4 linked regions of the Astyanax mexicanus genome follow. The protein of the gene in region 3 purifies or fractionates together with the protein of the main gene of each other region. This does not show direct contact. Links are inferred from orthologs where the notes say so. Each region holds a gene or a part of one and is shown on either strand. Other genes may lie near its edges. The genes, in order: agpat4, golm1, slc39a4 and abcb10.

What was found.
Region 1: the proteins of slc39a4 (region 3) and agpat4 purify together in Homo sapiens (affinity purification with mass spectrometry; 3 studies listed by BioGRID and IntAct, with this or other methods). This does not show direct contact. The link is inferred for Astyanax mexicanus from reciprocal best matches to the Homo sapiens genes SLC39A4 and AGPAT4.
Region 2: the proteins of slc39a4 (region 3) and golm1 purify together in Homo sapiens (affinity purification with mass spectrometry; 3 studies listed by BioGRID and IntAct, counting the BioPlex papers as one, with this or other methods). This does not show direct contact. The link is inferred for Astyanax mexicanus from reciprocal best matches to the Homo sapiens genes SLC39A4 and GOLM1.
Region 4: the proteins of slc39a4 (region 3) and abcb10 purify together in Homo sapiens (affinity purification with mass spectrometry; 3 studies listed by BioGRID and IntAct, counting the BioPlex papers as one, with this or other methods). This does not show direct contact. The link is inferred for Astyanax mexicanus from reciprocal best matches to the Homo sapiens genes SLC39A4 and ABCB10.

Annotation. Positions count from the first base shown.
Region 1 is NC_064432.1:23,983,843-23,990,680, reverse strand, and holds the start of agpat4 (1-acyl-sn-glycerol-3-phosphate acyltransferase delta), read right to left. Parts: upstream 3,004-6,838; 5' UTR 2,781-3,003; intron 882-2,780; 5' UTR 834-881; coding exon 656-833; intron 1-655. UniProt on the Homo sapiens protein: Converts 1-acyl-sn-glycerol-3-phosphate (lysophosphatidic acid or LPA) into 1,2-diacyl-sn-glycerol-3-phosphate (phosphatidic acid or PA) by incorporating an acyl moiety at the sn-2 position of the glycerol backbone.
Region 2 is NC_064419.1:21,470,925-21,478,734, reverse strand, and holds the start of golm1 (Golgi membrane protein 1), read left to right. Parts: upstream 1-4,805; 5' UTR 4,806-4,958; intron 4,959-7,810. Other genes in the region: ATP-dependent RNA helicase DDX51, read left to right, coding at 367-393.
Region 3 is NC_064410.1:3,405,424-3,413,048, reverse strand, and holds the start of slc39a4 (zinc transporter ZIP4), read left to right. Parts: upstream 1-4,611; 5' UTR 4,612-4,803; coding exon 4,804-5,007; intron 5,008-7,625. UniProt on the Homo sapiens protein: Selective transporter that mediates the uptake of Zn(2+). Plays an essential role for dietary zinc uptake from small intestine. The Zn(2+) uniporter activity is regulated by zinc availability.
Region 4 is NC_064414.1:38,773,834-38,781,773, reverse strand, and holds the start of abcb10 (ATP-binding cassette sub-family B member 10, mitochondrial), read left to right. Parts: upstream 1-4,918; 5' UTR 4,919-5,646; coding exon 5,647-6,064; intron 6,065-7,878; coding exon 7,879-7,940. Other genes in the region: urb2 (unhealthy ribosome biogenesis protein 2 homolog), read right to left, coding at 1-2,078, 2,338-2,514, 2,759-2,884.

The sequences.
Region 1 (6,838 bases), on a different chromosome or scaffold from region 3:
GAGATGGGGAAATAGCGAACGGTAAACATTGGGACACTCTGCTGAAATCTGAAAATCTGAAATAAGACAAATATTAGCTCTGTGTATTGGCAAGAACTTGAGGAGATTCAGTTAAAGAGCCACTAAACCCTATTTTTTTTAATAAATAGCTGATATTTTTCTTATAAAAGAAGTAATGAAACATACTAGTCCTGTGTAACATTTTTATAATAATTTCCTAACCTTTAAAAAAACAACCTTCAGTTAATTATATACGCTGCTGACGTCCAACCATCTATTTCTCACCGTTATCAGAGGCACACTGCTGCTGCTACAGCTCAGCCAATCAGCTCTCTCTCCTGCCCCGCCCCAAACCCATACATCACCCAGTTTATCTCCCAAACTACTTCTCCTATTTTTTTTTTTTTTTTTTACAGTTTTCAAATTTGAGCTGAGGGTAAAATCAGCTAAAATCAAATCAGGGAGTTTAGTGCCCCTTTAACTTTCATCCACTACCTTCCACAGAGAGGGAGCTGCGTCTGTGGTTGAAGGAGCTAAATTTTAAAAGAGCCACCTAAATGTCCAGATGTTTGCACTTAATATTTAATGTTTAGTGGAGGAGAAACGAACAGCAGAACATCCTGACCCACAGAAACTAAATTGGTTTGGTACTCACGGCTGGAGATGCAGTATGCCAGTCTGCAGTTGACCCGGCGTGCCAGCTGCTTGTTGATGCCCCACAGTGGCAGCGTGCAGAGCTGCAGGAAGTTGATTATGATGCCGCTGACCAAGAACACATAACAGATAATAAGATGACACAGGAATTGAGTCTTCAGCAGCCTGAGGAGACCCATCTTCAAACACCACAAAGTCTTTACTGTCCTCTTTAGCCTCTACAGTCCCTGCAGGAGAGAGACATATACACAGATACACATCAGAATACAGCAGCGTATCACCATACACGACTTACTATTCAATATAGCACAATACACTGTGATATTCTAAGCACAGCCATACTACTGCATCTCAAGAAGTATGAATATCATTGAAAAGTTACTTTATCTCAGTAAAATTGTTAATAATTAATGCCTGCAGCCAATGAAAACCCAAAAATCAGTGTCTCAGAAAATTTGAATATTATATAAGACCTATTGGTACTTTTGGCAGTGTGAGCAGTGTGCCAAGTCCTGCTGGAAAATGAAATCTGCATCTCCATAAAAGTTGTCAGTAGCAGAGGGAAGCATGAAGTGCTGCAAGATTTTGTGGGAAAACAAAACTGCACTGAATTTAGACTTGATAATAAAACACAGTGGATCAACACCAGCAGATGACATGTCTCTCCAAACCATCACTGATTGGTGGAAACTTCACACTAGACCTCGAGCAGTTTGGACTGTGTGTCTCTCCACTCTTCCTCCAGACTCTGCTCCCTTGATTTCCAAATGAAATATAAAATTTACTGATGATCAGTGATGGTTTGGAGAGTCATGTCTGTCATCTGCTGATGTTGATCCACTGTGTTTTATTATCAAGTCTAAAGTCAGTGCAGTTTTTTTCCCCCACAAAATCTTACAGCACTTCATGCTTCCCCTGTTCTGCAGTTTTTCAGAGTTAAAATTAAGAAAGTGGTGGAAAGTGCAGCAGGGTACAGTGTTAGCATTGTGCTGGTCCTGTAATAATCAGATTTGGACACTGACTCAGTGTCTCAGTGTCTCAGTATCTGAGTGTAGGATGAGAAACGGGTCTATTGTTCCCTCGGGAGAGCGGTGAACACATGACGTGCTGTTCCACTGCTGATCAGTTAAACACATGCTGCACATTTACACTGATAAACTTCTCCTACAGCAGCTTTCTCTAACTCTACACTGACCACACGGTGAGAGAGGATTAAAGTATCACAGTATTCATTGTTTTAACATCATATTGTCTTATGTTTAGAAAATATTGATAAATTGCAGTATCTTGATATTTAGTTTTGAGTGAGTTTAGATGTAAAGATTGGTGTCAGAAGTGGTTCATTTAGTGTTGTCTGTTTAAACCCCGCCAACTAGATGTTGTGTTGTGGATAGATGTTCCAATTGGATGAAAAGTAAACTTTTCTTTTACTCAGATTTTGTAAAATTCCTTTTTTTGATTATATATTGTCCTACTTAGAGTATCACAATATATCATAATATATCGTCGCTGTCCAATGAAAAACTCTTATCTCCAAAACAGCAACTTTACAGGAGAGAGAAAAAACCTTGTAAACTTTCAATGGAAGTCAATGTAAAAAGAGTTTATTTCAGGTCATTTTGAAGAGTTTCTATTGGTCCCTTTCATCAAGAAAGTTTGGCACAGTATAAGGGACAGTTTGTCTGTTCAAATTATGTAGTAAACTTAAAATCGACGAAAATGGAGTTTTTTTTTTTCATGAAAAGTGTTTTTCATAGGACAGTAACGATATATTGTAGCAGCATAAAGAGATGAAGACAGAAAGGGAGGTATAGGGACGTATAGTAGGAGAGATAGATAGTTAAAGATATACAAGAGAGAGTAAGCGAGGGAGGAAAAAGAAAAGGTAGAGGTATAAAGCGATGTAGATGGAGAGAAAGAGGTATAAAAAGAGGTAGAGGTAGAGAGAGATAAAGGGAGAGAGAGAGAACAGTATGAAGATCAGTTTGTTGTTAGTATTATGATTGTTATGGGAGGATCAGTTCTGTATATAATCGGATTTATAGGCGGGTTAATAGAAGCTGAATTCGGTTTAATCGCATTAAATCAGTAAGTTAGAAACATCCGAGTTCAACTAGAACACTCACCTGGTTTAAACACAGCAGTGCTGAGGAGCTGCTGATCTCCTGAATCCGGATTCAGAACCGCAGTCCGATACCGCTCTCCTCCAGCCCCGCGCTGTAATCGGTATAATCGGACTCTGTAACCGATATAATCGGTATAATCGGAAGGTGTAATCGGACTGTTCCCGGCGCTACAGCAGCGTTTCACACTCAGGCATGGCACAGTGAGGGGAGGCGGGGCCACGCCCTGAACCTTCCATTCAGGGTTGCAGGGTTGCCAGATTCTTACAGTGATTTACAAAAATCCGAACAAAAATGATTCAAAACCCGCCAAAAACAGCCGAATAATTCAGCATAATAAAAACTAGGGATTTTCCCTATTAACACTACATCATCATCACTTTACACACAAGTAAATAAATACACCTCCAGGTAATATCTAAATTCAGTTTGAAAGTAGTTTTTTACTTATGTTTTTTATGTGTTTAGTTAATATACATGAATATATATATTATAATTTTAGAATAAATCTGAATCTTGATCATGTTTTTTTTATTCAGTGTGTATACAATATAAAGCTAGAGGTGTGCCATATTGTATCAAAAGCAAAAATTTCACCAATAAGTCTGACACGATTAGTACGAACAGTATTATACAATAACAAATGACCAAAAAATAAACTACTGATATCTTAAATTTGTACTGATCAGTTATTTAAAAATAAAGCAGATTTAAATGTTTTAACTGCAAACAAAAAACATTTAATGTGATATCAGTAACGAAATAAGAATATTTAAACAACACCTCAATACATTAAATATAACTTGTATTTTATTCTTATAGCTTGCACTGTGTTTGTACAGTTTAGAAAGGGACATTTAAGTAATACTCATAATAATTATTATTATTACTATAATAAAATAAACATTTTTATTTATGAGGAGCACTTTTATCCTCAAAGCCTTGTAAGTGTAGATTCAGAGCCCAGAACAATCAAAATGTTGAAATGAATGTACATTCAGTCTTAGAAATGTCACGTGAAATTCCTCAAACTGGCAACACTGAAGACAGATGAGAGGCACGAGCTGTTTTAAGGGTGTGTCTCAATATTCCTCCTGTACCCTACACCCTGTACCCTCACGCCCTCTAAACATTAAATTTAAAATAAATTTTAATATGCAATATATATTAAATATTAAATAAAATATTTTACATTATAACATTATTCAGAGAGGCAGTGTTTATATCAGCATCTGCAGGATCAGTGTGTGTCTAATACGCAGGACATGCTACCTTGGTAACTTGCTGCCTACACTAGCTCACTCATTAGTGGATTTTGTGTAGTGATTGAGTCTCTGTGTCAGAAAAAAAAGTGTTTTAACCTTATATTTTATAATGTTTTGTCCACTAAAATGAACGCCAGATAACTAATCTCCAGTCCAGATTTGCCCGGGTTCCCTAGTTCCCGCCTCAGAATCCTCCCTAAGTAGGTAGCATGTCCTCCGATTCAGAAACACTTCACTTGTCTTACTGTAGTAACTTTGCGACCTCTGCTGGCGATTTACCCGAACTACAGCCTTTAGTTCAGCCGGACACATTTACTGTCCTCTGTTATATTTAAGGTACAAAATAATGACTTAATATTTCAAAATAATATATATGTATATATATATACATATGTATATATATATATATATATATATATATATATATATATATATATATATATATATATACATATATGTATATATATATATATATACATATATGTATATATATATACATATATGTATATATATATATATATATGTATATATATATACATATATATACATATATATATATATATATATCTTACTGATAAGTAAACTGCAGATAATTGCTGATCTCATTATTTTGAGATAATAATAAATTTTTTTAATAGTAATAAATTATGTTAAAATGCTATCTCATTATTTGCAGATAGTAATTAATTATTTTGAAATACCATTTCATTATTTGAGATACAAATACATTATTTTGAGATACTATCATTATTTTGCCATCTCAAAATAATAACTTACTATCTGAAAATAATGAGATAGTAAGTCATTAATTTGAAATAGTAAGTCATTACTTTTAGATACTATCTCTTTATTTTAATTCATTATTTTGAAATAGTAATTTTTATAGTTTTTTTTACTTTGAGAAAGTAAGTCATTATTTTGAGGTACTAATTTAAGATTTTGAGATACTAACCCATTATTTTGAAATAGTAAGTCATTATTTTGAGAGAGTAAGTCAGTATTTTTAGCTACTAATTTATTATTTTAAGATACTATCTCATTATTTTACTTTAAGAGCCCATCAGACTAATTTCTTAATATTAATCAGTTTTAAAACTGAATCTGGTAAATTCAGTGAGCAGCTCATTCATGATTATTTCTTATTGATTGTGATAAAGAGAACTGTAATCACTGTAAATGGTATAAGGTTAAAATCAGGATGTAACACAAATGACACAACAATTTCCTAACTTTTATTGTAACATTTTGCTCTAGAAATCTGATCAGAGTTAGTTTTAGCCCCAGAACTAACCCTAAAGCACTCCTACATTCTTATACACTGTGCTGTAGTGATGTTCTCTGGATGATCAGTATGAGTTAATATTAGGAACTTCATGAGTTAAACTAAAGGAAAGAATGCTCTAGAAGCTAAAATACATGTTTAAAAGTGTATTTAGAGTTATTTTTACTCAACAATACAGAAATAAACCCCCGCACTGCAGAAAACTAAAATCTTAGCAAGTTAAATCATCTTAAATCCATATAAATTTTTTTTCATTGTCTTGCACTGGGTGATGTATGGGTTTAGGTGTGGGTGTGTGGGCTCTCCTGCATTGTGTGTGTGTTTGTGTTGAGTGTTTTCACATGGACAATTGTAGCCACAAGCTGCCGGTCACCATCAAGCCGTGGCACTGAGCTATACTGAGTTTGGCCACAGGGGGGCAGCACTGTAATTTATCTGCTCTTTTAAACAGAGGTCACAGGAAGCACATGCAGCATCTCAGGTGGAGGTGAGTAGATTTAGAAGTCTGTAGAAACTATTTGACTATATTCAGCTATACTTGAATCTTTGCAGTTTAGCATAGCATAGCACAGCTAAGTTTAGCATAGTTTAGCTTAGCATTAGCCTAGCAGAGCTTAGCTTAGCATAGTTTATCTTAGCTTAGTTTATCTTAGCTTAGTTTAATTTAGCTCAGCTCAGCTTAGCCCAGCCGGAGTGTTCTGTTGAGTTATACTAATAGATATGTGCTACTTAGCGGCTCTGTGAATTCACAGATTCACAGTGTTTAATGTTTTTAAGTGGTTTTCATGATAATTTTGTTTTTCATCTGTTGCATTAAACTATCTAATCTTACTGACTAGACTACCTAGATCAGCTGAGTATACCTGAGTATATATATTTTTACAGTTTAAGACTAAAAGCCACCCACCTCCCTATGAGATGCTGCCTGTGCTTCCAGTAGGCTTCATTTATAAAAGAAGCTAAATTTTACCTGTAGAGAACTCTTTTGCACCACAGCAACCCACGCAGAGACCACAGCATCCCATACAGATACCACAGCACCTCATACAGATACCACCGCTACCCTATACAGATACCACAGCACCGGGAGAAGATATGTTTTAGGTGTTTTATGGGTTTTTAAATCTTCAAAACCTGGAACTCATCATATTCTCCTACAGGATTCACAGATACACATTATTTATCATCAGAACCAATCAGTTCTCAGCATTTAGGAGCTGGACCTCTTTAATGTCCAGTTTCCTGAGTTTGAACATCTTCCCTCAGGACGCAGACTTTGCTGTCCACACCGCAGGACAACCTTCCTCCCAGAGCAGTCCAGATCCTAAACACTGAGATCTGATTGGGGGAGATCCCGATTTGTCAGATTTCTTGGACCTTCATATTTTGGTAGGTTTACAGTTGTAGAATACTGTGATCAGTGATCTTTGGGATGCTTAGTTTGGGATATGTTTTTATAACCTATCTGACCTGTCTGGTGAGTTCCTTGGTCTTCATGATGCTGTTTATTCACT
Region 2 (7,810 bases), on a different chromosome or scaffold from region 3:
AATATGAGTTTTACAGTTTTAACTGAATTACTGAAATAAAATAACTTTTCAGTGATATTTAAAATTTTCGACATGCACTAGTACATTGTTTCAAGATGAAGAATCATGCCGAATAGACAATTAGAAATGCTTCAAAATGATTTGAAACAAAATAATTTTACATTGCCTTCCATATGTTCTTTCTTTCTACAAGAAACGTTACCTTTTGGGTATTACAAAGATTTTTGTGTGATGGTTAGGTTATACAGTCTGGGCTATTTGAGCACTTTTGGGGTCATTAAATTTTTCTGTCATTTTACTTTCTGTCTTTACACACCTTTGGTCAGAATATAATCCGGCATGTTTGAATGTCTTTGTTTTCTGAAGGAGGAGAAAGCCCAGAACAGATTCTGAAAGGAAGGTGACCAGGATTTGACCCAGCTGAATAAATATTTGTCTGTTCCTTTGTCTCTGTCTAAACTTTAATACATCTTTTCCTCCACAAAAGACTTTGTATTTTGAATAAATCTTTTTACATTAAGACTTTGTCGTCTTTTCCCTGCTCTTTCATTTACTTAAATATAAGCATGGGCGCAGATGGCACTGGGGACGGGGGGGGGGACATGTCCCCCCCAGATTTATAGTGACCTCATCCGAAATCTATCATCTACAAACATAAACGTTGGGGTTTTAATTTAATTAACTGTACGTTTGTGGAATTCTGTGTTCCACAATGCCCTCGTTTTTAAACTAGGAAGCGTTCAGTTCAGAGGTTACATTGTTCGGAGCTCCGTGTTCCAGTTCCAATGTAAATTTAACGCACCTTCTCAAGTCCGGGGTTCTAAGGAGCTGGTAACTGCCTGTAGACTACAGACAGAGGCAGTTACCAGCTCCTTACGGTACGTGTCCACTAGCACTTTTTTCAACGCAATCCGCTGCGCTGGATCTCCTTGCTCGTTTTTGAATTAAAACGAAGCAACAGAAGTAGACAGTCATAAGTTTAATATTTTTATTTTTTTACCAACCTCACTGTAACCTATAGCTCTATAAATCCATATTCTGCCGCTTTCAGCTTCTCTTCTGTGGTTGAAAGGCGCCTGTTCTGTCTGTGTGTGTGTGTGTAAGAGGCTTGTGTGTGTGTGTGTGAAGACGCAGCCTGCTCTTCCCTCATTGGCTGGACGCAGCCTGCTTTTCCCTGATTGGCTGGACGCAGCCTGCTTTTCCCTGATTGGCTGGACTGGACACAGTGCGGCGGCCGGATTTATTTGAATAAAGTTGAGCCGGAGGGCGGAGCTGCGTTAAACACTGCGTTTAACATTGTCTTCCTGGTCTTGCCTAGGCTGTAGCAATGAAGAAACAAAAAACATAACATATAACAATAACAATATTCTAAAGTTTATTGCAGCATATATATATATATATATATATACGTATATATATATATATATATATATATATACGTATATATATATATATATGTACGTGTATATATATACATACATATATATATATATACGTGTATATATATATACACGTATATATATATATATGTATGTATATATATATACGTATATATATATATATACGTATATATATATATGTATGTATATATATACACGTACATATATATATATATATACGTATATATATACGTATATATATATATATATATATATATATATATATATATATATATATATATATATATATATATATATATATATATATATATATATATATAATTTTACAGCTTGGTCCCCCCCAGTTCAAAATTTCCATCTGCGCCCCTGAATATAAGACATACTGTATCCTTCAATAGGACCTTGTAGCCTAAGTATTAGTTAGAATATGAGGCATCTTTCATATTTACTTTATACTTCCGCCATCTTTCCAGAGAGCATGGCAATTTAGAAACCATGCCCCAGGTGTTCAGAGACTCATGCTCACCCTTTGCACCTGAACAAATGTGAATTATTGAACTGAATCTTTTGATCAGTTTGTTTAAATGATTCCAGTGTTCGAACAGCATTGAGTCTTAATGAATTTTACATTATTATAAGGTTACCAGATTAAAGTTTCATGTAATAATAATGAACATTTCTCCAAAGAACGATTTAAAACATCTATTAGAAGGTATTATGAGGTATCTGTTTGTTTGTACTGTCAGTGTAAAGGCTGTAAGGTATGATAAATACCTGTATAGCAAATGTTACCATTTTTTCAAGATTTATTAATTGCAGGTTACAGCATGCTTTTATTTTGGATGCTGTAAAGAAGTTTAGAGTTTCATTTGAAGTAAAAAAAAAAAAAAAGAGATCATTATACGTTTCATTCAGACTCATTTATTTATTCGTTATTATTATTACATAAACAACTTATCTGTGATCTGGTATAATTTTTTTTCGTATCTTATTTTTTAATGCATCCCTCATTAAAATGTGTGATATTAAATTCTATAATTCAAAGGTGTTAAATATCAGAGTGTTATTTAAAGTTCATTCACCTGGACTAGTCTTATGATTTAAAAAGCAGTTTGTACTGAACTTATTAAAAATTCATCACTGGAGGTTCTAGGGGCGGGGAAACATACTAATGCGGCAGACAATGGCCCCGGCTAAAATCTGATTGGCCCTTCGAAATGCCCCTGTCCTGTCACTTATTTTCTCTATGCACAGTAAAATTGCATGTAAAATTGGAAAGGAGATTTAATTTTTTTGCAAGGAGTTAATTTTGTGAAAAAAATGTACACAAAAATATTAAATCTGCAATCGAAAATATATACATATAGTAGCAAAAAATAGTAGCAAAGAAGAGATTCCTTTTAATCCTTAAATTGATTGCAGATTTATTTGTTTGTTTAAAACTTTTGGCACAAAAATAACTTCATAGATTTTATTGTGTTAACTTTTTAAACTTACATTCAAGTGTTTAAACGTGGTGAAATAATACTTGGCCCCTCCTCTATGAATATTGTGGCCCTTGATAGCCCCTTACTCAGAAAAATCCTAGATCTGCCACTGGGAGTGGGCGATATGGCCCTAAATTTTTCGTGATAACGATACTCTTGGTGACATGACAGAAAAAATGAAAACTAAATGTTATTATTGCATACAGTATGATATGGCACACCCCTAATTGAGATATTAAAAAATACAATAATTTTTATCAAATTTGTAACAGAAGTCAATGATCCAGAATGTCATAATACTAATAATGCACTCCAAATATCTCCATTGTAGAGTAATTTACCACAGCATGAATTAGATAAAACTCAGATGTGAGAAATCCCAGAACATGAAAAGATGACCAATGAGTCAGAGCTTAAAATTTAAAATATATATTAAAGTTTACTGGAAACATTGTTTCAGCATTACAGATATATATAAAAGGAACAAAAATTATTAAATATATATTAGAAAATAGTAAAAGTACATCAACGAGTCAACACATAGTGTAATAAAATCTTGATAGAGATTTAAGAGAAAGAGAGAAAGAAAATAAAGCCAGTCGAGGGAGAGAGAGAACCCTTCAGACTTTATCCAAGCAGTTATACATTTATGCAAATAACATGTGATTGAACAGAATTTATCAATATGATTATGTCAGCAGAGTCCAGTTAACAGCTTGTTGTCCAGTTCCAATGACGTGATCAGCTCCAGCCTGTCTGAACAACAAGTTCTTTTCATGGTGTTGTTCAGCTCTGTGTCCTTCATGAACACAGCAAACAGTCCTTGTGTTTCAAACAGTCCTTAAGTGTCCTAAAGTCTGTGATAAGATGAAACAGAGGAAAAGAGTGGCTGGAAAGATCTTCTGGGGCTGTGTAGACACCATATAGAACAGGCAGGCGCTGGCTGTCTGAGGAGATCTCCTGTCCAAAAAAATAAATAAATAAATCTACCTTGCACGCACACCAAATGAGAACATAACAGGGTAGATAGATAGATGGATGGATGGATGGATGAATGTATGGATGGATGGATGGAAGACTTTAATTGTTTTTTTACTTTTACCAGACAGATTTTAGAGTAGTCAGAGGTGGAATGAGTTTTAATAGGAGCCATGATGCTCCTGAATGCCTCTGTTCAGGAGGAAAAAAAACACCGCCTGCCCATGCTAAAAACTGATTGGCTGACTCACAGAGTCTTTGCAGAGAACAGGCCAATCAGATCCCTCTCTCTGTTTTGCATGCTGTTCACGAATATGCACAGGAGGGAAGCGCCTTTCTCTCTCTCCCTTTCTTTCCCACACATGATTGGGGGAAAAAGTCTGTGTGGCTTGCATGTACCTGCTATATTCTGGGAGATTTTATCTGATCCCAGGGCATCAGGGAGCCATTGTTGATATGCAATAGACTCCCGCGACTTCCGGGTGATTTCAGACATCTGTATAATTGTAATTGAGAACATTGTGCATTTGTCTTTTGCTGATAACAGCAAAAAAGTAGTACCCTGATGTGATAATTAAGGGTGGGTGATATGGTACGATATTTCAGGGTATAATATAATTCACAATATTCAAAATGTTGTCGATATTATTGCGCACACCCCTACCTGCCACTGTAATACATAAGTATTCCAGAAAAAAGTGAGATTCGATTCGACTCTGTTTGACTGATTATTTCAAAGAACCGATGCTTACTAACAAAGGCAGATAAATTACAAGCATTCAGCACCGGTTACACGGTGAAACTTCATTGTGTGATTGTATGTATTTTAAGATGTTGTAATATTTAAAGACTAATACAGTGCGGAGATCTCACGGAAAGACTCGATTCACTTTGAACCGATTCGTTAACGAGTGAGTCGCATTGCTGTTGATGCTCCGCTGCTGCTGAGTCAAATCAAACAGCGCTCTGACGGATGTAGTTCGGTTAGTATAGCTTGGCGCTGGCAGACAAATCCTCGGTCAGAGAAGCGGATTATCGATGATGTTCACGCGTCTGGGTCTCAGCTGATGTAACTGCGCTGTTCAGTAGAGAGGTGAGAAGAGATTTGTGATGAAATAATCTGTATTTCCTTCATAAACCGGAGAGAAGAGCCGCCGGGCTCTGTAGCCCCTGTGTTGTATTAGTTAGCTGCAGGACTCCTGTTAATGATACTTAGCCTAGCTAACAGAGCTAACAGGCTAAGTTAAACTACCCCACACGGCTTTTGTAGTTCTCTGTGATGCACTAAACAGAAAGGTTTCGCCTCTTGTATCTTTGCTGAGCGTTCAGGGCAGGTTTCTTGTCGTTTCTTACAGGAATAGCGTTAGCACAGGACGCTAACTGCGAGTTGTTGACGTGTTACTTCTTGAAAACCTGTCTGGAACTAACTGAGTTAATGTTAGCTTAGCTGGCTAACCTAACTAGCTAACATATTAATCTGCCTCCGTTCTACTGTTGTTGGTGGTGCTCTGGAGAGCTCTCGTTATCTAGCGTTATCTAAATTTAATCATTTAATGACCTAGAGACCTGCTGTTGACACTTTTATAAAATCTTAGCAACCCAGGAACTCTGCAGGTTCACATATAGCTTATGAGGAAAACAGTGGTCCATCACAACAGAGCGCTACTGCTTCTGGTTTCTCTTGCTTGGAGAACTGGGACTGGATTTGCAGCTAACCTAAGATTTAAGAGAACACTTCAGTTTCTGAATCAGATTCTCTGATTTTGTTATTTATAGGTAAGCTATATGTTTGAGTAAAATTATCATTGTTTTCATTCTGTAAACTACAGATAACAGTTCTCCAAAAAAAAAAAAAAATGTTGTCACTGAGAAAATGAGAAATGACTGAAATAACAAAAAAGATGCAGATCTTTCAGACCTCAAATAATGCAAAGAAAACAAGTTCATTTTCATAAAGATTTAAGAGTTCAGAAATCAACATTTGGTGGAATATCCCTGTTTTTTAATCACAGTTTTCATACATCTTGGCATGTTCTCCTCCTCCAGTCTTACACGCTGCTTTTGGATAACTTTATGTCACTCCTGGTGCAAAAAAATCAATTCAACCGTACCGTAATCTCACCGAAAATACACCTTTCCACGGAGATCCACGTTAACACAACAGTGAGTGGAAATAAAAGAGCTACTAAATTGTGATGTCATGTGACTGAAAAAGCCTAAAAACGCACTCACTCTTCTGTTTTTTTTATTACAGTGTGGATGCAAGAGTTTTATCAGTAGAAATGTAAAGTATTTTACCCTTAGGTACTGTACCAGTTAAAAGTTTGGAGACACCTTTTCTCATTTAATGTGTTTTCTTTCTTTTCATGATTTTAAAGCTATACTGGAACATATGCAGCATTATTCTGTAAAGAAAATGTTAAGTAGCCATAATTATCTTTGATGACAGGTTTGCACGCCCTTTTTTAGTGGCTTTGTGAGGTAGAGTCACCTGGAATAGTTTTCTCAGCGTCTTGAAGGAGTTCTTGGAGTTCTTTTTTTTTTTTTTTATTAATCTACAGTGTAGAAAATAAATTAAATGTAAAGTATCCCAAAATAAAGCAGAACAAAGAATAGCAGTGTCTTAAATGTCCCTGCTGATACCTGCTGGGTGAGCTGATATGATCCTCTGCAGGTCTTTGGGGAGCTCAATCAGGATTGTAAACAGGTACTTTCAATTGAGTAACTGAAGTAAAAGCACTTTTACTCACTGCACCGCTACGTTCACTGCTACTGAAGCTGATATCTCTCTCATACCAGAAATCAGGTTACTCTGGGCTTTCATGTTATCATATTAAAATGAACACGTCAACTAGAGTGTAATCTAAGGCAGTGCCCTACTCTCCCTACTGAATCATGTGGGTGAGCCTTCCGTGTAGAGTCCTGCTCCAGGAAATGCTTACACCATCTCCTCTGTTCTGCATTTAACAGTAAAAACTGACATCATCACAGTGCCGGGCGATATGCCAGGTATTATTGTCTTATGTAAAGTGCATCATTAAAAAACACTTTCTCATTTTAGCGCTTCGTACTTTGAAATGTGTGCACTTTACTAATGGTACTCAGGAACAGTTGATTGAAGAGGAAAATGTGCCAATCCATTTTTAGACACTGTAAAGTCTGCTGTTTATGTGTATTGGGCCCTATGAAACCATTTATTTAGTTTTTGTCCTTTTTTTTCCCTGTTTAATTTTTTTTTTCTAAATATCCATCGCCAGCTACAATTATACAGGCAGTAAGAAAAATACCCTTAACTATTAAAATAAATGTAATTTATTTAAAAAAAATAAATGTAGAGACTTGTGCACTTGATAATTTATGTCAATACATCAGTGCATCTGCAGGTTAAAAGCATTTCTACACAACAGGGTGAAAGCAGTACTCATACATTTGGTGTACATCTTTTGAAAGTAAGTGAAATACACCTGTGATGAACTGGCGCAGTTTTACAGTCACAAAATAAAGGTAAACTTAAAAAAAAACTATTCAAAATCTAGGTTTAAAACACCTAAATGACCCATTTGAAAAACATTATCGCCTTCCTAAACTTAATGCTGCATCTGCTACATTTATCATGAACAACAATACCATATGCAAACATATAAAGTGAAGTGAGTTTAACGAAAATGCAACATAAATGCTAAACTGCTCAGTGAGGATAAGGTGTAGAGATGTGTAACATACTGTAACATATAGAACATACATGATCACAGCAGTTACTGTGGTAGAGAGTTTATAGTTTTTGGAATTAAGCAAATATTGCTGATAGGGAAAGAGACATTTCAGTTCCAGTGTGTGTGTGTGTGTACAGTGATTGGTGGGTTCAGTACAGTTCTTCTGTGTGTGTTGCTGCTTGTGACTCCTGTGTCTACTGTAACTATAACTCAGGAACTATTGGAACTCCCT
Region 3 (7,625 bases):
GCCATTAAATTACAATAAAACGTGTTTTAAGTGCAGAAATGTAAATCTGATGTAAAAAGTAAAACGTCCCTATTACACTAAAAGCATTCCCCAGCTGAAAGGGGGTCTCTGTATGGACTCCCACCACTAGAGTTAAAGCATCGATCCAAACGCAAGGCCCTGAAAAAGACTGTGAGTCTTGCAATAATGTATATTTAGCATAACAATAGCCGATCCACACGCCCGCCTGCTGGCTGGATGGTCAGTCCTTTCTTTCTGTCCAGAGAAGAATAGCCACAGGAGCCAATCAGATTGCTCAGACGCTCTGTGTGGTCGGTGGATCTTTAGGTAGGGTTGTTTTTTTTTTGTTTTGTTTTTTTTCCACTGCCCTCAGCAGAAGCCTTGTTGAGATCAATGCTGCTATAGGAGCTCATTTTCTCCTCTGGTTTACTTTCTCTCTCTCTCTCGCTCTCTTTCTCTCTCTCTTTCTCTCTCTCTGTAAGCTGGAGGATGAGTAGATGCTTCAGGAGAAATGCTGCAGATGCTGCCTATGTTTAGCATGTAATGGATCTTTTTAGCTTATAATAAAGCCGCGTGATGAATGGCCGTTTGTCTGCTTCCGTTGCTCCGTATCTAGCCTCGAGGGCCAGCGGCGTTTACGTTATTGACCAGGAAGAGAGTGGGCCGTCGATGAGGGGAGCTTATTAACCGGCTTTAATGCACTCTCTCTCTCTCTCTCTCTCTCTCTCGTCCAGGTTGGGTTTGTCACAGCAGTAAGTCGCATGTTATTACAGTGTTGGTGAATAAGTGTGACTAACAGCTCACAGTAAGGGACCTCCACCTAAACCCCTCAGCAAAGCTACAGTAACCCATCAATTTCCAGACCTGTTATACCTTGATAGCCTTTTCATTCAGTGATTACTTTAAGAGATGCTCAAGTTAGTAAAGTTAGATGTAAGATTTCACTATCAGATGTTGTTTTTCAGACAAATTGACCAATAAAAAAGCTCCAAGAAATCTTTCTGTTAAAAAATCTGTAATTTGTTATTAGCAAAACTGCAGTAAACCATCGATTTCCAGGCCTGTTATATCTTGATAGCCTTCTTATTCAGAGATTATAGTGTCAGAAGTTGTTTTTCACACAAATTTACCAAAAAAAAAAGCTCCAAGAAAGAAGAAGTTGGGCACTGCGCGGTCCTGCACGGTCCATGCAGCTAGCCGAGAGCTGCCAGAGCCCCGAGAGAGCACAGTTGGCCTTGCTCTCTCTACGGGTGGGTACAGTAGATGGTGCTCTTTCCCCTCATCACTCCGAGGATGATGTCGATCAGCACAAGGCTGCGGATGACAAACAAAACCAAACTGCACTGACTTTAGACTTGATAATAAAACATAGTGGATCAACACCAGCAGATCACATGTCTCTCCAAACCATCACTGATCATCAGTAAATTTTATATCTCATTTAAAGTAAATCAAGGGAGCAGAGTCTGGAGGAAGAGTGGAGAGAAACACAGTCCAAACTGCTTGAGGTCTAGTGTGAAGTTTCCACCAATCAGTGATGGTTTGGAGAGACATGTGATCTGCTGGTGTTACCAATTGGTCTTATATAATATTCAAATTTTCTGAGACACAGATTCTTGGGTTTTCATTGGCTGTAAGCCATAATTATCATACGATAAAAGAAATAAGCACTTAAAATAGATCACTCTGTGTGTAATACATCTATATATAAAATATGAGTTTCACATTTTGAACTGAATCGCTGTAATAAAGTTACTTTTCTAATTAAGGAGATCTTTGGTATCTTGTCTTCTTAAAAAAGCACACAATCTGTGTTTTTGGCTCTTATCAAAGACATAAAGATCCTTTCTGAGGTCCAACCTGTGAGAACAAATGCTGGCTCATGTGTGCAAAACAGCATTAGGAGGACTGAGGCCCCCCTCTTGTGGGCAGATTATGAACATACACTCCATTCTCCAGTCTAACATGATGGTTATTATTTACCTGTTTTTGCTGCGGCAGGTAAATTTGATATCAACTTTCCTCAGCTGTGGAATATTCCCACAGGTCATGAAACGGCAGACATCAGGATTCAGTGCAATAATCCAGTGTCACTGAGTTTAAAAGCAACTACAGTAAAGTGATAACTACCCCTGAGTAATTGAATGGAACAGAACGTAGCCAACAGCACACAGGGGCAGCACAAAGGTGCGAGAGCTTCACACGAGGAAGTGAAAACAGGTGGGCACCTTTACTGCTAACAGCCTGGTCAGGGCAGGGTTCACATAACCCCTTATCCAGGTTTATGTGGTTTAATGATGAACATTTGGCATATATTAACAAAATGACTACCTCAGTAGTGCCTTTTGAGACTCTTATAGACGCTGGATATTTGGTGAACCAATAAAAAACACCCATATACAGCTCTGGACAAAAATAAGAGACCACTTAAAATTATGATTTTTCTTTTATTTTATGAAATTGAAAACCTCTGGAATATAATAACCAAGAGAAAGATGGATGATGGAGTAAAGGCATAAAGTTATCCAAAAGCAGTGTGTAAGACTAGTGGAGGAGAACATGATGCCAAGATGCATAAAAAAAAACTGTAATTAAAAACCAGGGTTATTCCACCAAATATTGATTTCTGAACTCTTAAAACTTTATGAATATGAACTTGTTTTCTTTGCATTATCTGAGGTCTGAAAGCTCTGCATCTTTTTTGTTATTTCAGCCATTTCTGCTGGAAAATGAAATCTGCATCTCTATAAAAGTTGACAGTAGCAGAGGGAAGCATGAAGTGCTGTAAGATTTTGTGGGAAAACAAAACTGAACTGACTTTAGACTTGATAATAAAACACAGCGGATCTACACCAGCAGATGACAGACATGTCTCTCCAAACCATCACTGATCATCAGAAAATTGTACATTTTATTTGGAAATCAATGGAGGATTCGGAGGAAAGCAAAGCTCACAGACGCAGCCTTGTGCTGATCGACATCACCCTAGGAGTGACGAGGGGAAAGAGCGCCATCTATTGTACCCACCCAGAGAGAGCAAGACCAATTGTGCGCTCTCAGGGCTCCGGCAGCTGATGATGGCAAGCTGCATGACCAGGATTCGAACCAGCGATCTTCTAATCATATGACATACAGGTTTTCTAATAAAGTAAATCCTGATTATAACATTGAAGTAACTGAGATGTTACCTCCAAGTTTGAGCAGGTTATAAAACAAGTAGGCTGATGACACAGCAGGATTTAGAGCTGAGGAACTTTCTGCAGGGATTCGGCCGCTGTAGGTTTTTCACGCTCACTTTTTAAAGGCCTTTTCTCCTCCCAGCTTCAAGCGCTCCTGTGTTTTTGCCAGAGAAAAAAGAAATAGGTCACGTATTCACCTGTGTCCTGTAGCTGCTGCCTAAAGTGTGCAGGCGCTGACTTTCCAGAAAACGCTGACCGCCTCACTTGTGGAGAAACTCTGCTGCTGTAGCCTGGTAACAGCTGATTCAGCCGCGGAAGGTGGGGGCGGGGTGGGGGGGCATTGCCCTTTATGCTGATATGAGGCCAGTTTTGCTGCTCAGAACTTGGTCCGCTTAGCTGATCTTGGATCAGCTCAGTGAAGGACAGCGTTCTCATGCGTGCAACAGGGAAGAGTGGAAGGAAGGTCAGAGGTTAAGCCATGTTGATGGGGTGTATTGATATAAACTTGAGGATGAAAAAAAGGATGAAAAAGATAAAAAGAGATACTTATGAAGGGACCAAGTTGTACAGTATATAATATGTTCCTGTTATAATATGTTTATTATAGATAATGTTTTATTGGTAATGTCATATTGGCCAAAGTATATAAGATCTATCACACTGTCTAAACAATAAAGACAAAAAAAAAACAGCATTAGAGCCAAAGAGTCTAATTAAAAAAGGTTATTTTTCACTAAATTAACTTATTTTTTAATCACACTTTTAGCATGCTTATTTTACTGTTTAGGGATGGTTTGTGAACAAAAAGGTCAATATCAAAAATAAAATAAAAAAGTTAAAAATATTATTAGTAGTATTTAAAAATTTTGAAATTATGCTGAAATTATGTTGATGGAACATGTTGGAATTTAGTTGTGTTTATCAAACAAAACAATGGGATTAATATTAAGTGAAACAACTTTAAAACGTTAAGTTAGTCCAACAAAAAACATTTTGTAGCTTTTACTACACGTTTTTACTAACTGGGGATTATGTGTATCTAATAAAAGATCTATGCAAATTGTTACATACGTTTTTTTTTTTTTTCAAGTAGATCCAGTATATTATTTTTTAGATAATAGATCATCATATATTTCATTTTGTTGGGTTTAATATGGGGTTTAACGCTTTATAAAAAAGCTTGTAAGGCCTGTTCACATCTCCTTGAGTGGCCATCTTTAATAAAATGAGGTTTATGGTTTATTACCCACATCTATAGGGCTAATCCCAAATAAAATTCAATGTATTCAATTTTATGCTTCAATATTATATATATTCGTTTGGAAAACCACATGCACGAGCTCAGAGAAGTCACCGGGACAGGTGTGAGCTGGGACAGGCCCCCCATCCGGCCCAAGCCTAGGGAACAAACTCCCGCTGTGTGATGAGACGTAGTCGATCAGGGGACCAATCAGGATCGAGTGGACCGGGCTGTAAGAGGAGTATCTACCTGTGCAGGTAGACTCTTTTCCCTCTTGGAAAGCACCTGTAAACGGTGGCACTCTCACGAGGACTGCGCACCACCACCAGTTTTTAGACACGTTTTCCCAACGTTTAACACACATTTAAACCGTGTGGAAACAGAATGGAAAGCTGGAGGCCGGTTTTGCTGCTGTTTCTGATCTGCCACGCGCGCGGTACCGGGGCGCGCGACGCCAGGCAGCACGTGTACGGGAAGGTGGTCCACCTGCTGTCCCCTGGAGAAGATGAGCTGAGTGACAGCGCCGTCCGCTCCTTTTTCAGCCTCCTGGAGAAACGTGTGCAGTGGGCCGGTGTGTCGTGTGGAAAGGTACGAGTTTTTTTGCACAGCACGAGCCTGACTTTCCGCGGGGTCGAGGTCCAGCACCACCCCTGCCGCCGCCGGTCCGTGTGCTACACCGCCGAGAGCAAAGCGTGGAGGGGTATATAGACCAGAGCGTCTTCTTTCAGTCCAAAGCTTCTCTTTAGCGCTTTTCAGACGTTTTATAGACGGTTTATATATTTTTTTAAATATAGGAAGGATATTAATTGTCAGTGTTCTGCTGTTAAACTAAAGTAAATAGCTTGTAATAAAAAATAGGCATAAAGCTCGTCGGAAAAAAACATGCTAACTTGGCGTTAAAAACAAACAAACAAAAAAGAATTTGGACAAACAACACAAAATTAGGCAGTTAAATAAAAGTTTTAAAATTTTAAAAAACTATTTTTTTTTTACACGTCGGAAAAACGTGCTAACTTAGCCTTAAAATCTAAAACGAAAAAACAAATAATAATAATAATTTAGACAAACAGCACAAAAATAGGTAGTTAAATAAAACAAAAAAAATCTAAATCTACTACAGAATTATTTTATTCGCTGTTATTCTAGGGACACTAATGTTTTAACTTAACATTAAAATCTAAAAAGATTAAAACTTTTTTTGATAAAGCACAAAAATAAGCAGTTAATAAAAGTCAAAAGAAAATCTAAATCTACTACAGAATTATTTTATTCACTATTATTCTAGTGACATTAATTTTTTACATGTCAGTAAACATGCTAACTTAGCTTTAAAATGGTTAAAAAAGAATTTGTACAAATAACAAAAAAAAAACAGGCAGTTAAATAAAAGTAAAAAAATATATATAACAGAATTATTTTATTAATAGGAATGCTGGAGGTCAATCCAAGAATTGTCTGGGAAGAACCCCAACATGGCTTATTTTTCGATTCTTCCTGATTTATCCTTTATTTTTTTGTGTGTGATTTGTAATATAATGTACTCATTTTGTACAGCTTTTGTTTTCTGCCCTTTTTTATCCTTTTTAACTACATGTAAATAGTCTAAGTGAAAAAAAGCACTGTTACTCTTTTCTTTTGAGCTTTTCCTGCTTTTTTAACCTTAGCATTAAAACCTTCTCACTAACTTTGCCTTAGAAAGGGTCCTTTGAGGAACAATCTGCCATTGTCTTTTAGTAACAATGGCTTATTTAAGAAAGGTAATAATGTGGAATGAGGAGGGCTAGGGGCTAATGCTAGCTCATGTTTTGTAAAAGCTTTTATTTCTTTCTTTTTTATATATATACCTTTGAATATTTTAGAATTATGTAGATTTTATGTTTAAAAAAAAATCCAGTAAATCCAACATATTACTTTTACATAACCATTTTACAACAGAACAAAGAGCCAAAGAGCAACGGCTCACTCTTAAAACCAAGTTAGACTAAAGGTTATTGGGAGCTGTTTCATCAACAACATTTAATTTTTAGAAATAATATTTTAATGACTGGTAACTATAGGGACCTTGCTGCAAAAAATGTTTTAATAAGTTTCATCTATAACTGAAAGGTTTTAAAACCAACTCATGTTGAAACCTAAAACCATTTAGGTCTTTTTTTTATTAAGAATGTACACAAAAGCTACACGTCCACTAAAGAATTCATACCAATTTCTATGTGTGTGTTCTATAGTAACAGACCTCTTGATAGCAATTTGTTTCCACAGCATAATGTAAAGCTCAGATAAAGCTGATAAAGCAGATAATGGCTCCATGAAGCCCAGAGTCTAATTTCATCTAAGATAAGAGATAATCTTCTTTAAAGGTTCCATATGCAACAGAAAAAAAAGAATCATAAATGTCATATTTTCCATTTTTTCCAAATAATTTAGAATTAAAAACAGTTCTTTGATGTTAAGATATTGTTTAATGCCTCTTTGTGCTACTAATACAGTTCCAAACTATCAAATCATGAACTCTACAGACATTTAAAGATGTCCTTTGGTGGTATCTGGCTCTAAGATGATAGCAGTAGACCCTGTAAGTCCATATAGTTGTTGGTTCACTTGGACCATGGTTGTCTTTCCTTGGACTGCATATTGGAAACAACTCAGAAGATCTACCACATTTAAGAGAGGTTGTGTCCCAATCAGTTTGGATCTTATTTTTTACTATGTGTACGCTCCAAGTAAACAAACATGAAGCAAGCAACCTACCTGAGGTGAAACCGTACAAGAACTGACAAAGGAACACAGGGGCAACAAAACAAAAGGGGCTATATATATATATATATACAGAAGTAGACATGAAACAGGAAACACCTGGGTACAGGTAACGAGAGGGTGGAGTTACTAATGAACACAGGTGGGAGCACTGAATACAGGGGTGGAGACAAGGAGAACATAGAGCCATGTGCACGAAAGCACATAAACAGGAAAAGAACGTGACAGGTGGAGATGAAAAAGGCAATTAAAAGGCAACATGTGGTGAGAACATGATCTGATCTCGATCTGACCCCAGCTATCAAATATATTTCTTTTATTTGAGCTAAACTGCTGATGATAAGTCTCTGCTGCTCCATGCTGTTTACGTGCTGCGTTCACTGCTTGTTTGAAACACAAAACACATAGGCTTCTTGCTATATTTTCAGTTCAGTTCTGACCAATCAGAG
Region 4 (7,940 bases), on a different chromosome or scaffold from region 3:
CTCTCGAGTAGTTGCTTTGAAATTAGAAAGACTGACATGTCATCATTTTCTGAATTGCTTCCAAGGTCGCTATGAAGCAAGGAGTTCAACATAGCGTCTGCTATGTGACATGCATCTTCCTTTGAGAGGTATGGAGCAATTAACGGCAGATTGGTGGTTACAAGGAACCAGCAGGCCACAGAATATGTGTCGTTATTCACATTGCAAAGCTGGAGGTCCCACGTTTGGTCGGTACTTAGGTTTATTAAAGAGTCTTGCCTGTTTACTACAAACTGAGCACTTTCACAAAGAATTGTGTGTCTTTTATTGTCTGTGTTTAACACAGGCAAAGGAGAAACAAGCAAATGTTTCTTTATCCTATGGACAGCGAGAAGCTTCTGAAGAAGCCTACTCAGTGGGCTACTACTGACTTTCAGAGCCAGAACTTTCTCTACTGTATCAGACACAGGGCGCACTGTACTTGTGCCAGCTGGTGATGTGTATTTGCTGCAGTGATTCTGAAAGAGGGAGTCAGCCTCATGCCATATGTAAGTAAGAAGAAGACTAACCTCTTGAATCTTGTCTATCCAGAGGGTATCTGTACTAACAAGCCCCTCAAGACACTCCAACAATGATCCAACCAACCTAAACATCTGCTCCATCATACTCTGGGTCTGCCTGACCAGAGGGACTGGGGTGCTATCATCAACTGTCTTCAGACTAAAGACGACCGTATGAAGAAGAACACTCAGAGATAACAGTTTCAAGGCAGACTCCTTTCTCATTTCCTTCACATAAGTAAGCTCACTTTGTATCTTCTCCAGAATGCGTCTGCAGATTTCTAGGTTCTGGCTGGCAGGGCTGTCCAAGAGACATTGACTCAATGTTTTCTGCACAGCTTCAGTTAACAGCTCTGGTCTCAGTTCATCAGCAGCCGGACGGGTGATCACGATTAGCACTTCCTCTGTGAGTCTTGGAAGCTGTCGTAGCTTCGCGTAGGTCCGTATGACCTCAGAAACAAGTGTTTCACGAGCTTTTTTCACACGTAACTCAGTGTTCTCTGCATCCACCCAAGCTGAGGAGACAAGCTCATCAAGATCAGGCTCCAGGATTAAGTGGTTCAGTGCAAGCAGGGTTTTTAGGCATCGGTACCAGGAGGGTTTGTCTGTTTGTGCATTGCTAAACAAAAGTTGCGCTACTTTCCTGTAGAACGTTAGCTGCACCTCGCCGTGGTGAATTCTGTCTGCGGCTACATTATAGATGTCTCCAGCCAGGCAGGAGTTCAACATGTTCTCCAGAGAAAGTAGAACAATATTCCAATGTTCTGGATTAAATGTCTCCTTGATTTGCAGGTCGTCTGTAAACTCTAACGCCAGGATAAACTTTGTCATAATATGAAAGCAAACTAGCTTGTTGTCGTCATCTTTTCCAAATGAATCTAAAGCAAACTTAAACAGTAACGGGAGAGAATTGCACCTGACAGCATACAACAAAGCCTCTTTCTCAACTCCATGTCCGTGAACAAGTTTTGACAGAATTGTAGCAACAGGGCAGAGTAAGATATTGCCAGTAGATCCCTTTTTGGAGCTCGATTCTCGTTCTGGTGGCAAAACTTCTTTTTTATAACATGGTAGGCGGTCATCGAAGAAGAGAGCTGACTGAAGAATCATGTCCACTTTACTCCGGATCTCTTTGTTCAGATTCTGCCTGATTCTCGGGTCATCCCTCTCAGTCCACGTCCTACTGCTCAGTAGATGCCTAAGCAGGCAAAGCGGCTGCAAAAGGTGTTCTGTGACCTGAGTAAAAACTCTGTTGGAGTTGCCTTGCTGTTTTTGTACAGTCAGGTAGGAATTGAGCACAAGGAACAGAACCTCAAACACATTTAGTGAAAGAGGCTCAGAACATTCCTCCTGCTGGCTGAGCTGATAGCAGGCCAAACCACAGACTTTAACCAGTAGTTGCACCAAAACATCGCATCTGGCAGTGTAGCTCACAGAGAGGACAGGAGAGCTCACAATCCCCTGACAGCAGCTCAAAACAGTGGACAGGCTAACAGACAGTGTTCCTGAGCTGGCTTCTTGAATCCTTTCAATGATTATCTGTGTAAAACAAACAAAAAAAAGAAATAAAAACTTTACTGAGCTTAAATCTGATGACTTACAAACAAATGTCAGTAGGTGGATTTTAAATACAGTTTCTGTTTAATGTTTTATAAGCTGATATTTATTCATTTATTTTATAATAAATTATTATTACCGTTAACTAAAGCATATAAGTCATGCTGTGGGAAATTATCCAACACAACATTAAAAAAAAAAAAAAAAAAAACCATAAGATCTGTGCTGAGCTTTTTGCTACCTGACACACTGCTGGGTTCACAGTAATAGTCTTTCCTTTGCTCAAGACATGTTTAATCCTCTGGCTGTGAAGAAATTCGTCCAGGTAGCTCCATAAGCCTTCCACTTCTTTAAATGGAACTTCTGCTTTCTTGTTGTAATAGGCAGAAAGGGCATTAGTAGTCCAGTCAAGCAAAACCTGTTAGATAAAGATAAAGTTATTAAGGTTTATAAGGTGTAAGGTGTGAGGTTTGCAAAGTAAAACTCTGTGTAATACATGTTCTGCATTCAGGACATGGAATATTTTTGGCAAAATAACAGTACATTCCTGCCTACATTACTAGGAACATATAAATAATTTCACAATTAACTAAATAGGCACACACATCAGTTTATTATTATAACCTTTGTAAATGTCAATTACTTTATAAGGTGATTATTACCTGTTCCTTGTTTGGAAGAAGGCATTGCCTTGATACCAATGCAAATCGAGCAAGCTTCAGTTTATCTGCCCAAGGTGTCTGAGAGCTTTTCAGCTTTTGATAGATACCAGTGTAGATGGTAGCCATGTCCAAAAAAAGATGGAGCTGAAAAAAAGGGCATAAGGAAATAATTATTTAGAGTGCAAATTAAAGACAACTGCACAAACAGTATAGCACATGTTCCCTTTTGAAAAGCACAGTTCAATACCAGCTTTGGCTAGCAGCTGGTTTTAGATAGTTTGGGTTGATCTTTGATGGTAAAAATGTCTAAAAAGATTAAAAAGATGGTTATTAAAGATTAAGTTGGTTAACCATCTTTTTACTAGCATAGTATATGTTGCATGGAACATGGTTTTCAAATGCTTTTTAAATACCCATATGTTTAATTTTGGATCATACTGATATTTTGTGAGTAAATATGTAATCTTTTGGGTTTAAGCACTTTTGGAGATAGACTGAGTTGAGTGCAGGTGAACTCCCCCTTTGCCATTGCGTTTTAGTGCCCCGCCACTTTGTGTAGTGCAGTGCTGTTATAAATGCTATTATTATAAATGGTATTATTATAATGGTTAGTCGACAAATATTCATATTTAACATTGTTGATTATATCGACTAATAGTTGCTGGCCTGGTGTTCGTTATTAAACATTTCAAGAGAATGCAGATTTAAGAGAACACAACCTAAATAAATAATATAAAAACAGTATTTCTACATGAGACAGTCTTTATTGATCTACCTGACTAATTGCAGCTGTTTCCTGCATTTCTGCCAAAAGGTGCTACTAACGAGGGGTGGATTAATTATTACAGTAAACGTCACAATACCAGGTATAATCATCTTACCACTAAGAAAGTTTGGTAAAACTGATCACACTACAGCAGTCATACAGTGTGATAATACAATGTGTCAATAGCATGTAGTCAAAACACCTAAGATTATGATATAAAGGAAACTAAATCACAATCAAGGTTGCACACACACACACACACACACACACACACACACACACACACATACTGTAGTTTAGTCACAGTAACATATACCATTAATCCATTTAGTTAACTAGAAGTTAGATAAAGGTAACAGTTCTACTGTAGAAATTCTACAATTAGTTGTTTACAGCTCCAAAACAGCAGCAGTAACGTGAGTTTTCATTGACAGCATGCCTATGTTTCTTCAATCATCAATAAATGTTGTTAAAATGAGTTTAAATCGGTTTGCTTCCTTCAAAACACCATAAACTTACATTCACATCACACACGTGGTCCCCGCTAAAGTCCTCTACCCGTGTAACTCTGCCCCAGCACTTCCGCCTAGACTGTACGAATCGATAGACTATTAGCCAGCGATCCGATTCGGTTTGGCTAATATTTTCTACTGGTTATTTTGCTATCTTAAACATTTACACACTTGTATATATTCTATATCAATTTCAATCTTGTCTCACTAGCCATAAAAACGATTAAATCACTGCAAAAGTGATCAGCTATTGAAAGGGAATTACAAACTTCAATAGTTTATTACTGAATATTTAAAAACGCTTTCAAAGCTTAGAAGGAGGCATTAAAGCATTAGATGTTTTTTAAGACTTTAAGACTTAAAGGTTCAGAAAGAGAAGAGAGGTGAAAATGATTTTTAAAAAATACAAATGCTGATGTTTCAGCTCTCAACATATAGCTATGAATAAATCATTATGTAGTAGCATCCAACTGTCTACAGTCTGTATCAACATAAATGTTATGGAATTATTCAATTCAAGTTTAATATTTTTTTAGAAACATAAAATAAATAAAGTGCAACACGTTTAACAGATAAATGTGCCAAAACCTGGCGAAACGTTTAGGACCAGGTGTTCTGTCTGTCAAGAAAAATATATTTATTATTATTATATTTATTATAAAACACGAGAAATAATTAATAACCGTGGTTCAGCGCATGCGCAGTGCCTTTAGGAAGCACGTATCGATAAGTAGCATGTCGCGACGGAATACCGGCGATCTACAGAAGATGTGACAGCATAAATCCCTCTAGATAATTATTTGTAGATCAGTGAATACGTGCTGCCGGTGGAATCGATGGATCGCGTGTGATTGGACGCGTCTGAAAGAGTGTTATATTACTGTACTGAGAGCGGCCATTGGGCTGGAGTGGAGTTTAGTTTGTGTTAGTTTCTGTGCTTCACGGTGCAGGAGGACACCTGGGGTCATCCACCTCAGCGGACTCTTCTGAGCGCGTGACGCTGCTGTGGATGTGCTGCTCCACGTGGTGCTCCCAGAAGCCCCGCGTCCCTCGTCCCGGTGTTTTGAATGGATACAAGAGGGAGAGATGACCTAACCTAGCTAACCTGGGGCGGCTGTGTCAGGTTGTGGTGACAGTGGGGCGCTGCCGGTGACTGGTCTGGGTGGAGAGGAGATAAGGAGAAGGAGAAGCTGGGCTGTGTGAGGAGCTGTCACTGACAGATAATGCGGTTTAGTAACTGTCGGACTCGAACAATACCTTTGCTCACAGTGGGCTTGGTGTTTCTGAAGAGATCAGGAGCCGGAGTGCTTGTGTAGAGCTGGATGTGATCAGCTGGATCAGCTTGGGTAGTTAACTAGCTAAATATTAAATATAAATAATGATGTGTTTAGACGTATACGTTTTGTAATGTTAGATATATTTCTATAGATATAGAAAGTGATTTGTTTAGTTTAAATCTTTTTTTTATTTATTTGATAGCATTTATGATGTTAAAGCAAGTCATGTCTAGTTTAATTAAAATGTATCAAAGCTAGATAACCTAGCTATCAATCTCAGTCTGCAAATGCAGGTGGCCTCTTTATTTCCTTTAACTGCATTAACTGCTCATAATGTTATTAACGCCAAGACTAACTGCTGGGAAACTACTGCAAAAGTGGAGCATTTCCTGCTACCGTCCTCAAAGGGAGTACCTGTTGCCCAGTCGGACTTTGGGAAGGTCGTGGAGAAGGCAGGCGTGTGGGGAGGAAAGTGAACACTATGGGGTCTGTTTTCTTCCCTTGTACGTGAGGAAAGCCCTGTCCCACCATGCCTGCATCCGCCCGGGACTGGGCTTTATCTCCCGCGCCGCTTGGCCGCACTCCATGCGGGCTGCCGCTTTCTACAGCACCTCGGCAGACTCTAAACAAGCAGGGCATGTGGCAAACGAGCAAAGTCAAGTCAACACTAGAGTCAAACCAGTGGGAATACCCTCGGATGACCTCAAAAAACTGTTGCAGCTTGCTTATCCAGAGCGATGGAGACTGACAGGTAGAGTCTCAGTTCATTGTGTCTTTTCAGTTTTTTTTTTACCTCATCCTTTTAAGTGTTCCTACAGTTTGAAATTGTACTAAACAATGCACATAACGTATGAAAATTTGTGTTTGATAGATAATTTATTTTCTGTAACAATGTTTCTTGGAAATAAATATTATAAGATTGAAAATCTTAAAAAAGGTCTCTTTTAAGCGATGGCTTGTTTGTAAGGAACATATATTTGTGGGATGAGCAGAAAAGCTGAGTATGTGGGTTGTGCCCATAAAAAGTTAGTCAAATCCTCACTGCCATTGCCAAACAGCTCATTCTGCCATTGACTTGTTAAATGTTTGATTATGTATTATCTTGGGGTCTTCTTGAGACACCCTTTTTTTGAGGCCTGTCTCTAACATCAATTTTCATATAGCACTTGGTCTTCATTTTGGAGATACTGGTACCATGGCTCACTACAAATAATGGCGCAAACTGGTTTTGTGGAACATCAGCTTGAATATGCCCTATCACACAGGCCTATTCAGAAAACCTACTGATCACTGGGCCCATGCTCACAGGTGCCATACCACACCTGGGGGCACCAGAAGTCGAATGCAATGGTCAATAGCAACATCAAAATAAGCTGTTTTGCAATTGCAGAAAAGACAAATTATTCATGGGCGTAACACACATACTCAGCTCTCCTGCTCGTAACAAGAATGCAGGTTCCTTACAAATTTGAAACCGTTAAAAAGGAAACTTAACAGGCTTCATTATAAAATTAATTTCCAAGAAACGTTGTTACAACAAAGAAATAATCTACCAAACAGATTTACCAAATTTCCTTACTTTTTGTGCTATGTTTATCCATCCACTTAAAAAAATACGGTGTTCATTTTTCCTTAAGCTGTAAAACTGCTATATGAACAGTAAATGGACTCCACTCTAATTGGCAAAGTTGCCAAGGTTATATGCTAAGTAGATTGATATGCACTCATTGACAACAACAAAAAAACAACAACAAAAAGATCTTTACAGGGGCTCTAATTCTGCTGGTCTGCCTCTAGCCTGGGCATATACAGTATGTTCCAAGTGGAATTCTGCAACCCAGTTGTCTACAGATGTAACAGCTGCATCAGTAGCTTCTGCAGACTCATAGGTTGCAGAAGCCACCATCCCACTTTGTCCAATAAATGCTCGTTTGTCAATACATCACAAAATATCAGTTAGAAGCCCTGCCATAAGAAGCAACACATTGTTCAGCACATATCGCTGAGTTGTTAGTGTCCCTTATATCACTCCCTGGGGTGACAGATTGTGAACCACACCAGCAGTTGGGACAGTGTGTCACTCCACAGCAAAGGCAGGATTGAAACTCTCATCACAAAGCCTTTCCATGACTGTCATTTGATCCCAAACAGAACCTGGATTTTTTGTTAAAATCAGTCCAGTAATGAAACCCTTTTCAAAGTTTGTAAACTAGACATAATGACTTAAAGTGCATTGTTGCGGCATGCCTAGCATTCAACAATCTCTCACCAAGAGGTACACCAACCCAAAAGTAGCCTCTAAAAGCCTTTTAAATAGGGTGGCAGGGGAGCATTTATATGCCCTGTAATCATTTCATATTTGCCATAAGACTGCACACCAAACTGTTCAGTCCAGAATATGTAATCTTTTTGTAATTAGGGACATTTGGAAACACTGAATGTCAACAAAACTACATGTAAACATTTTAGTTATGTCAAAATGTGTTGCATGTTTACTAGTTGTGCTAGTTCTTGTGGTGGTAATGTTTCAAGTTTTGTTCTTTTTTTCTTTTTTTTTTCTGGCAGCTGCTGTGGGTTTCCTTGCCATCTCCAGTGCTGTCACTATGTCTGCTCCATTTTTCCTGGGT